Canis lupus familiaris: one gene and its partners. The main gene of each other region encodes a partner of the protein of the gene in region 3 in a complex. Links are inferred from orthologs where the notes say so. Each region holds a gene or a part of one and is shown on either strand. Other genes may lie near its edges. The genes, in order: POLR2B, GTF2H5 and GTF2A1.

Region 1 (3,652 bases), on a different chromosome or scaffold from region 3:
TGAAAGATGCATGAATATAGCTAATAATACAGCTATACAATTATTAAGTTCACACTGAACTAACCACCAATGAATTAACCCCTCATCTACAGAAAAGAACCAGTCAAAAGATAATAATAGATGTATGTAGAGATTGGATGTAGTAAATTTAATAAAAATTCTGACTTAGCCAAAACCTCACAAATTTTTGCTGGGGGAAGAAACACACAATCATAACCAACTTACAAATTAAAAGCAGGAAAAAGAAAAAAAATTAAAAGCAGGAAAGTGGGACGCCTGGGTGGCTCAGCAGTTGAGTGCCCGCTTTAGGCTCAGGGCACGATCCTGGGATCCTGGACTGAGTCCCGCAACAGGCTCCCTGTGGGGAGCCTGTTTCTTTCTCCCTCTGCCTATGTCTCTGCCTCTCTCTCTGTGTCTTTCATGAATAAATAAATAAATCTTTACAAAATGTATGAATAAATAAAAGCAGGAAAGTAAGTATCATACAATCTTTTTTCCAAAAAAGAACCCTGACTCAAATATGAGAGAATCACCTATCATCATTTTGGAAGAAACATCAGTTTGGAACATATATTTTTAAAGAATATTTCTTACCTTCCCTTGAAGACATTCAATCAAGTGACCAATAGTCATGCGAGAGGGAATGGCATGGGGATTTATGATGATATCAGGGGTGATACCCTCACAGGTAAAAGGCATGTCCTAGGAAGAAATTTTTTAAAGGAGACAAACGTAACTCTCTTAACTATGAAACTGAAATGGATCCTCCCCTTTCTGAAGTTTCCTATGTCCTCAATTCTGTTCAACATGCTCTATTCATTTACTTACTCAAAATTAAAAAGTCAAGCCTCTATCATCTCTGCACTTTTAAGTTAAAGCAAATTTTGATTCTGTAAAATGTTAAACTGTGGGTTAAGGTGAGGGAAATAAGAGATACCTACCTCTTGTCTGTACTGAATACCACAAGTACCCTTTTGACCATGTCGACTAGCAAATTTGTCTCCAATCTGTGGAATTCTAACAGAGCGGACCTGAATTCATACAAAAATAGGTTAATTAACTTAAGTCAAACTGGTTTACTTTTTATAAAAAGCAGTATGAAAAAGCTATACTCACCCTTATTTTACAAAATTTATATCCTTCCTGGTTGAGAGTTACCATAACCTGATCCACAATGCCAGTCTCACTAGTTCTAAGAAATGTGCTACAGTCTCTCTTGGTATAGCGCCTATTAGTGCCCTCTAATTCATCTTCATTTTCAGGCAAGGTGACTGTTTTGCCTATAATAACATCATCTCCTGATACACGGACTCCAGGAGCTATCAAACCATCATCATCCAGCTTGTCATAAATGGCATGCCTCATACCTATGAGGAAACAGACACAGAATTTTCTGAAATGGTACTACTATATAAAGTATTTAAAATGTCACATAACCCGGGGCACCCGGGTGGTTCAGTCTGGTTAAGTGCCTTTGGCTCAGGTCATGACATCAGGGTCCTGGGATTGAGCCCTATGATGGACTCCCTGCATGGTAGGGAATCTGCTTCTCCTCCTCTCCCTGCCCTCCCCCCCCCAAACTTGTGGTCTCTCATTCTAATAAATAAATAAAATCTTAAAAAAAAAAAAAAGTCACATAATCCCCCCAAAAGATTAAAACCAAATCCTGAATCAGTTCCAAGTCAGAGAGAAGTTCATAGGAATCTTTAACACCATGAGCTATGTGTAATAATAATACAATGCTCTTACTCCAAATCCTACAAACTATTCTGAATTCTAAAAAAGTACTGGACTAACACTGGAAAATCAAAATGTCTATGACTTTGGATAAGGGTGTTGCCATCTTCTGATCTCAGAGGGCCTGGGTTGTGCAGTCGGTTAAGCATCTGACTCTTGGTTTCAGCTCAGTTCTGATCTCAGAGTAGTGAGATCAAGCCCTGCATCCTGCTCTGCCACTGGGAGTCTGCTTGGCTTTCTCTCTCCTTCTTCTGCCCCTCCCTCCTACACTCACACTCTCTCATTGAAATAATCTTAAAAAAAAGAAAGAAAAGAAAAAGAATATGCTCTCTACACACATCCTCTCAAAGAAATTTTGAATTTCATCTTACATAATCTTAACTCCACTGGACATCAATTCACTACTACATAGAACCACCCACAATGGCTCTATTTCTATAGGATAACAGAAAGATGACTTAAAAAACAAGACACATTTTACTTCACACAATACCATTAGAGGTCAAAACTGTAGCAGATACATACATTTCCCTGGGACAGCCCATCCATCCCACTGCATACATAGTTTTTAAGTGTCTATGAAAATAGTAACTAGACAATAAGTTTGAGTTTTCTAAACAAAAAAAAGTGCCAGGTATCCCTTTATCTGTTAAATGTATACAAATATGGTGGCTAGACAAATATTATGGACACACTACAATGTGGAGAGGGAAGGGAGTTCCCATGCAAATACATAAATTGAGTGAAAAGTTCACAGTACAGGAGTACTGTATCCCATGAAATTATATGACCTCTGTGATGTTCTAAAACCCTCTTCGGGGGATCCCTGGGTGGCGCAGCGGGTTAGTGCCTGCCTTTGGCCCAGGGCGCGATCCTGGAGACCCGGGATCGAATCCCACGTCGGGCTCCGGTGCATGGAGCCTGCTTCTCCCTCTGCCTGTGTCTCTGCCTCTCTCTCTCTCTCTCTGTGTGACTATCATAAATAAATAAAAAAATAAAAAAATAAGAAAAAAAAATAATAAATAAATAAAACCCTCTTCGATGCAGATCTACCAGGATGGAAGGATCTTAACAAGCCAACTCCTATGTGTAAAGACTTTTGGCAAACACACATATTTTCTTATATATCAGCTCTAAAAATAGTGGAGGGGGGCAAGGGGGAGGTACTAATTAGGAAAAACATGGTGAGTTAACTTTAAATTCCATTATTTTAAATGTCAGTATCACTTACCCTGGCATGTTTCGCGAGTTGGCTTCTCAAAAACTTCTTCTTGATCAAATCCTTTCTTAGATTCCTGTTCTTTATATGATCGATAGAAGACAGACCTAAAAATGCATGGTTGTAAAGGTAACTTCTATTTTCCTTTTATAATAGAGGTTAGAATATACCAATCATTTTTACTTTGATATTTGGGAGACAATTTAACCATGAATCTAAAATAAGAGTTAACTGTATCAAGAGTCAAAGTCAAGTCTTAAATGGTATTATATGCGCCACACACGTAGCATTTGATCTGTATCTTAACACAGCTGGATTATATGTGAGAACAGGAAGGACCTAAGGTCACAACTGCAACCTCCTACCTAAAAGAAGAATCCCTTCCCTAATAACCCCCAGAGAAGGTCATTCAGGATCTGCTCCAATATCTCTGGTGAGAAGTTTATGATATTAAGGTATCATGCCCACTCTCTGGTCCTAGTTCTATCCTGACACTATGCAGAAAAAAAATCCATCTTCTCAATCTCTAGTTTTTAACCAATCTTCATATGCCAGTATCTGGGATTGTCAATAAAATAACTAAAGCATAAGAATAATAAAGACTGAAAAAATACTATAATTTTAATAGTTATTTGTGGGTCCTAAGATTAATAGGTTTATTTCTTTAGACATTTCTGTATTATAATTGCAAACATG
Region 2 (3,053 bases), on a different chromosome or scaffold from region 3:
GCCACTTCCCATAAGACTCAATTTATTTCTATCTACTCCTTCTTCCCTTTCTTTAAAACTGATTTTTTTTTTTTTAAACAAAAAAACACTTGCCCTGATGGGAAAGGAAAATGTGACTAAAAAAGTTTGAACAAGGAAAAGCTAAAGCTTGCAAGGCACCATGTCCCTTTACCATTTGGTTATTTCTTCCACACTTCTTTTTTTTTTTTTTTTTTTTTAAGTAGGCTCCATGCCCAGTGTGGAGCCCAATAAGGGGCTTGAACTCATGATCCTGAGACAAGAGTCGGACGCTTAAATGAGCTGCCCAGGCAGCCCAAGCCCTCTGTACTTTTAAAACTGTATTTTTAGGGAAATGCAAAGTGTAGCTTACATTAATGTTCCATGGTTCTCTTTCCTACCTTCCTTCTTCATCAATAAAGCTGGCCAGTATCCAGATATTATTTATAAAGACATAAATATTACCAAAGGTCCCACCTTGGTATACTTACCTAAATAATTGATGTGAAGTTTCTAATTAGAACAGAACACCACCCAGATTATAAAATTCTATAATTATTAGCAGGAACAAGCAAACAAACACCTAGATTAAACTGAAAAATGCATATTCCATTAAATTCTTAATGCATTAAATTGGTATTAAAAAGGTAGGAAAACCATTTATATTTATATTTTAATGTAGGATAGTAAAAGTCAAATTACAGACAATCATTAAAGTTTTTTTTCTTTTTTTTTTTTTAAATTCTAGGGTACATGTACCGAAAAAACAACAAGAAAATCATTTCAAGGACTTTTTTCTGAACAAATGACATCACAGTTTTTCCCATAATATGCGACTAAGCAGCTAAGTCTAATCTGTCATGTAGGACACTGAATAGTGACAGTCTCTCACATTTGCTACTTGTAATTCCTAAGTGGTCAATATTGAGTACTTTCACTTCTGGGTAAGAGAAAAAGCATTTTGGTCCATTAATTCACCTACTCGCTCCTGGAGGACATTAACCAACTCTGCTATAACAAAGACATGAGTGTCATCAATGTCTTGAATGATGAACTTCTTCCCTAAGGCATTTGATTCATCCAAGTACAGCAGAAACTGCTTCATGGCAGGGTCACTGCAGAGACAAACACATGATAATGACACATTGTGTTATCAAATTATACCTAAGCAATTAGAATTGGGCATGCAGAATTTTTAGGATAACTCAAAAAGTTCTAAACTGTTAACTCAATCCGTCATTCCCTCTGTCTCAAGCATTAATGATTTGTAGACATAACTTCATTTTATTTTTTATTTTTTTCATGACTTCATTTTAGAACTGTTCCTTTAAGTTTTAGAGAAAGAGGCCAATGAGAAGATTTTAAAAGAGTAATTTGTCACTGACAAGTGAACAAATAATGTTCAGAGGTTTGTAGTTAATAGGGCCTAGAAACCACAGCTCCCTTAACTGATTTAAAAAATGAATTTCCTTACTTGCCCATGACCATTACACTTAAGAAGACAATAGATTTTTCACTATCTTGCCAGTGAAAAATTTAATTTACAAAACCAGTTTAGCAGTCACTGTGATAAAGTAGGGTGTACAGCAAAAGTCAGATCTTTTTTTTTTTTTTTTTTTTAAATTTATGATAGTCACACACACAGAGAGAGAGAGAGAGAGGCAGAGACACAGGCAGAGGTAGAAGCAGTCTCCATGCACCGGGAACCCGACGTGGGATTCAATCCCAGGTCTCCAGGATCACGCCCTGGGCCAAAGGCAGGCGTCAAACCGCTGCGCCACCCAGGGATCCTGCAAAAGTCAGATCTGAATTCAATCCCAGCTTTATCACTTGTGTGACCTTACTATGTACTTAATCTCTAAAGCCTCAAAATGAGCCCACATAACAGAACTGTTATTAACAGTTTATTAATTAAAAGAGAATAATTAAGTTATTCTCCTTTAAATTAAAAGAGAGTAATTCCAAAGACGGTGTTTGGCTTGCAGTAGGTTCTCAGTTTTTCTTCCTTCCTTAAAATTCTGAACTTCCTAAATTTGAACTCACTTAGAATCTTTTTTTAAAAAAAATATTTATTCATGAGAGAGAGAGAGAGAGAGAGAGAGAGAGAGGCAGAGACACAGGTAGAGGGAGAAGCAGGCTCCATGCAGAGAGCCTGATGCAGGACTCAATCCCGGGACTCCAGGATCATGCCTTGGGCCGAAGGCAGGTGCTAAACCACTGAGCCACCCAAGGATCCCCTCACTCAGAATCTTTAAAGGAAATCCTACCAAAATCTTCTTCAGGATACTGAGCTCAAAGAACAGATACAAATTCTATTTATTTGTGATTTTTAGTTTGGAATGAATAGAATAAGTCACAAGGAAAAGAGAGATCCAAATTCTAGGATTTACATGGGATGCCTGGGTGGGTCAGTTGGTTAAGTGTCCAACTCTTAATTTCAGGTCAGGTCATGATCTCAGGGTCCTGGAACCAAGCCCCGTGTTGGGCTTTGTGCTCAGTGTAGAGTCTGCTTAAGGATTCTCTCTTTTTCCTCTGCCCCTCCCCCCAGAGAATGTGCACATGCTCTTGCTCTCTCAAATAAGCACATAAACCTAAAAAAAACCCAAACAAACCCCAAATTTATAGACCTTACAGAAACATATCTCTGCTGTAAAAACCCTGAATCACAACAAAGAACACTCTTTAGACCTAATGTACAATAATGTGTTTAGCAAAAGATGAATATAAAAATGTCAAGTTGCAGTTTTTTTTAAATCTTAGAGAAAATGTAACTTCATAAAATCTTATGGTTTCTTAAGGAATGACAACATCCATTACAAAGATGACTGAATTCAAAAGAGGTCAGTGTAATTACCTAAAAACATAAAAACAAGTTTTACTTCTTTCAAGTACAAACTAGGTATAAGTGAAGCTAACAAAGGTAAAGGATTTATTTCAATCAGTAAATGAGTATGGTTCATGGCATATTAACTGTTAATAAAGTCAAGTCTTTCTGAAAAGATGATTTTAATTATTTTCAGTAACTTATCATTACAATGATTTTTAAACAATTTACT
Region 3 (3,752 bases):
CTAATTTCTTCCTGCAGGTCCTGGCAGGTTGCAGCTTTTCCTCTCTCGTACATCGCCTTTGATTATTTCCCCAAATATACTTTCGGTGGCATACGAACTTTGACATTTCGTTTTGCTTTGCGAGGAGGATCCACTCCTTCACTTGCCCGGACTACAGTCCACGTCTCTCCAAGTTCCTAGGGGCAGAATTAGGTGCGGCGAGCTCTGCCTTCGAAGCGGAGCACTCCCCGTTCTGCGTGACACGCTGCCCCGAAGGCGGGAGTCGGGAGCAGCGCAGGTCCGGCGCCTCCTGGTTCACACTCCGACACGTGGGCTTCCTCTGCTCGCTCCGGCGGCGAGAGGCCGCGAGACGGGGCGGCCCCACCGAGGTATTTCCTGTCAGTCCCAGGCGCGGGCCATGCGGTCACAGGATTTCGGCAGTTTTTAAAAATCGAGGGGGGACGTTATCGTGCTGTCATAATCCGGTGATATGCAGGTCGGTTTTTTTTTTTTTTTTCTTTTTTTCCTTTCGGCATTTCCACCACGGAAGTACTAGCACGCTAGTAAGGGGCCGAACCTCGGGGAAACTTAAGCCCAGGGCCTTTTAGCTGTACCGGTGGAAACGACTCAGCCGGTTCAGGGGTCATTAATTCTGAAATGTGTTAGCAGCGGGCTCAAAGCAGCTCTCCCCCTTTAGGAACACGTACACGATCTTGCCGGCGAAGGGCCCGGCCTTCGCGACGCGAGAGGAACCGACGCCTCTGAGCGCCGAGTCCACGACGAGCTCACGCCCCGAGATGACTCCGCATTTAAACTCTGCCCGGAGTCCGAGCGCTCCGGGGGCCGGAAGCGGGGCCACGTGACCGGTCCGCCTCCGCAGCCATTGCTAACGAGGCAGCCGCCAGCGCCCCTTCTGTATTTCCTCGCTTCTCCAAGCGCAGGGAGACGCAGAAACACCTGACAAGAGTTGGCTGCCAGGTAGCTTTGGACTTGAGGGTCAACACCACTCATGCTATGTCCAGCGATACTTTGCAAGCCCCTCAGCCTAAAACAGCTGTGGGGCACTTCCGCCTGGGTGGCAACCAGGTGATCACGCGAGACTTGGGGAGCCGGCCGGACGACTCGACTACCCCAGTCCCCGCGCTCCGCCAGCCCAGCACCCTCCGCTGCGCGTGACGACGCGGCCCACGGCGGCCTCCGCCCCGGCGCGCCTGCGCACGCGGCTCTCGCGGTGTCTCGCGCTCAGCCCCGCCCACCTCTGCCCCCGCCCTTTCCGCCCCTCCCTCCCCCTCCGCCCTGTCTCTCGGCGGCAGCGGCGGCGGCGGCGGCTCGCGCAGCTCGTTGGCTCACTATATAAAGGGGAGAAGCGGGCGGACCGGACGGCTGGAGCTGCAGCCGGTGGCGGCAGCGGCGGCGCGGGGAGCGGCGACCGGTGGTGGTTTCCCTCCTTGGCGCGGGGTGGGGAGCGGGCAACGCCCCCCCGGACCCCAGAAGGGTCGTGGCTTTTTTTTTTTTTTTTTTTTTTTTTTTTTTTTTTTTTTAAGGGCGATTCTCGAGGTTTTTAGCTCGGGGAGGACTGCCCCCCTCCTCCTCTTCCTCCTCCTCCTCCTCTCACCGCTCCCCTTCTACTCTTTCAGGATTCGATTTTGTTTGAAATTTTTACCCCCAATCTTGCGGTGGCTTGGGCCACCCTCCGGGTGTTTTGGTTTTCTTTTTTTTCTTTTTGGTTTTTTGTTTTTAATCTTGTTTTCTCGGGGTTGCCCCCCCTCTTGTTTGTGTTGTGTGTGGAAATGGCGAACTCGGCAAATACAAACACCGTGGTAAGGACGTGGTTTGGTGGCCGGCGGGGGCTTCGTCCGGGCGGCAGCAACGGCCGGACCGGGCGGGGGCGGGGACGGCGGCGACTCCCGGCCTCTACTCTCCTCAGCCGCCCGCGCGGCCGCCGCCGCCGCCGCCGCCGCCGCTTCCCGCCTCGGGCGGAGCGGGCCGGGGCGGCGGGCGCGGGGGGGGCGGGGGGAGGGCGCCTCGGGCTGGCGGCGGCGGCGGCGGCGGCGGCGGCGGCGGGAGGAGGGCGGGGGCGCCGGCGGGGCCTGGGGCCGCCGCGGGGCGGTCGGGGCCGCGCAGGCCGTTGGGCCGGGGCGAGCGCGCGGCTCCGGCCGCAGACCCCGGCCGCCGGGAGGGCGGGCGGGCGGGCGTGAAGCCTCCGCTTCCCCCCCTGCGCCCCCCCCGGGGGCCCGGCCGCGCCGGCTCGACACGGGCGCCCCGAGCAGCCTCCACAGACAAAACCCGCGTCTGGGGAATCGGGCGAGTCCCCAGGACCCGCCGTGTGGCCCACTTCAGTGCAGTGGAAGGCGAACGGCTACTTTGGGGGTTACTTGGGATGTTTCTGGCGGTTGTGCTTATTAGGGGGAGCCTTCACTGAGGCCATTTTATATTTCTTAAAAAAAAAAAAAAAAAGGAAAAAGGAAAGAAAAGGACGAAGGTTGAAAAGCACTTATCTCGGTTCCTTCCGAATCGGTAAAATGGCGAAGGGGAAGCAACACCCCCCCCCCCCATCGTATCTTCCACTAGCAAAAGCACCAAAGCAAACAAACAAACAAACAAACAAACAAAAAAGCCTACAGTGGTCCCAGCGCCCCTGCTTTCGCCTTGAAATTTGCCTACGTCTCCCCCCCGCCCCCCCCCCGTTTGTCCCTTTTTGGTTACTTGCGATCACGTAGGTTTGCAAAAAGCAGTCACATAAAAACAACCTTGTCCGTCACCAACGCCAATGCGATCACTAGTCCACCCCACTCTTATTTTTATTCTGACCGTAAAAACACGTTTTTGTTTTTGTTTTTTTGTTGTTTTTTTGTTTTGTTTTTTTTCCCGGTCCCAAACGCCGCAGACGAGCCCGCGGCCGCCCGACTCCGTACCGTTGGCGACTCGGGTCGATCCATCATGGCTGCGGCCGCTTACCCTGCTTTTGAGTCCCTGAGCCTTGTGGTCCTCCTCCCTTTGGCTGCCCTGTTTATATAGAGCCATTGCCGCTCTCTAATATAGACTCTGCCAGGATGGGAAGGTGCTTTTCAGGCCTACGTCACCGCCTCTCCATTTAAACACTAGATCCGGCTTTAAATAGTGAGAGCTGCTGAGAGCGGGGCTGGGAGGTGCGTGCTCCCGAGGCGAGAGGCAGGAGCGAGCCGAGCGCCCGGTTTATATCTAGGTCCTTCAGCTGCCACTGGGATTTCGCGCCCGACGGGGCCGCTTTCGGAGGGGGGGGGGGGTCCCCAAGTTTTTTTGTTTGTTTGTTTTGACGCAGCAGCTAGGGTTTCCTGCCTTTGTTGAGGGGGCGGGGGGGGGGGGAACGCAGAATTGCTGTCCCTTCTTATATTTTTATCTTTGCTTTTAAAGAGGATTGTAGCTCAGAGGTCTGTGGTCATTTTTGTATTGGGAAATGCGTTATTGTTGGGCATTTAAAGAAAACGACAACAGAAACACCGCTTCCTACATTAACTCTGAGCTGCAGGGTACTTGATGACTCTGATAGTGTTTCGTCCATCGAGTATTCAGAAAATGTGTTAGAAATAAAGCTCCTATATGCCATTGTTTTTCTGTAATGTTAGACACAAAGCTTTTTTGAAGATAAAGTGCCTAAAGCTTCAACGTGTGGACCTTATGTCCACAGTGCATCTATTGTATGTAGGGAAATTGTGAGTAATGAGAGGGGAGGCTTAGTGCAAACTGGATTTTTAAAATATTAAAATTCGAAGTTGACGTTGTCTTTTGATTTC

The links.
Region 1: GTF2A1 (region 3) and POLR2B share a complex: the UniProt entries of both Homo sapiens proteins name them as parts of the TBP-based Pol II pre-initiation complex. The link is inferred for Canis lupus familiaris from reciprocal best matches to the Homo sapiens genes GTF2A1 and POLR2B.
Region 2: GTF2A1 (region 3) and GTF2H5 share a complex: the UniProt entries of both Homo sapiens proteins name them as parts of the TBP-based Pol II pre-initiation complex. The link is inferred for Canis lupus familiaris from reciprocal best matches to the Homo sapiens genes GTF2A1 and GTF2H5.

The regions. Positions count from the first base shown.
Region 1 is NC_049234.1:49,890,716-49,894,367, reverse strand, and holds part of POLR2B (DNA-directed RNA polymerase II subunit RPB2), read right to left. Parts: intron 3,064-3,652; coding exon 2,969-3,063; intron 1,368-2,968; coding exon 1,117-1,367; intron 1,032-1,116; coding exon 942-1,031; intron 703-941; coding exon 595-702; intron 1-594. UniProt on the Homo sapiens protein: Catalytic core component of RNA polymerase II (Pol II), a DNA-dependent RNA polymerase which synthesizes mRNA precursors and many functional non-coding RNAs using the four ribonucleoside triphosphates as substrates.
Region 2 is NC_049222.1:48,175,004-48,178,056, reverse strand, and holds the end of GTF2H5 (general transcription factor IIH subunit 5), read right to left. Parts: intron 1,113-3,053; coding exon 932-1,112; 3' UTR 637-931; downstream 1-636. UniProt on the Homo sapiens protein: Component of the general transcription and DNA repair factor IIH (TFIIH) core complex, which is involved in general and transcription-coupled nucleotide excision repair (NER) of damaged DNA and, when complexed to CAK, in RNA transcription by RNA polymerase II.
Region 3 is NC_049229.1:53,872,859-53,876,610, reverse strand, and holds the start of GTF2A1 (transcription initiation factor IIA subunit 1), read left to right. Parts: upstream 1-1,563; 5' UTR 1,564-1,769; coding exon 1,770-1,799; intron 1,800-3,109; exon of another isoform or gene 3,110-3,128; intron 3,129-3,752. UniProt on the Homo sapiens protein: TFIIA is a component of the transcription machinery of RNA polymerase II and plays an important role in transcriptional activation. TFIIA in a complex with TBP mediates transcriptional activity.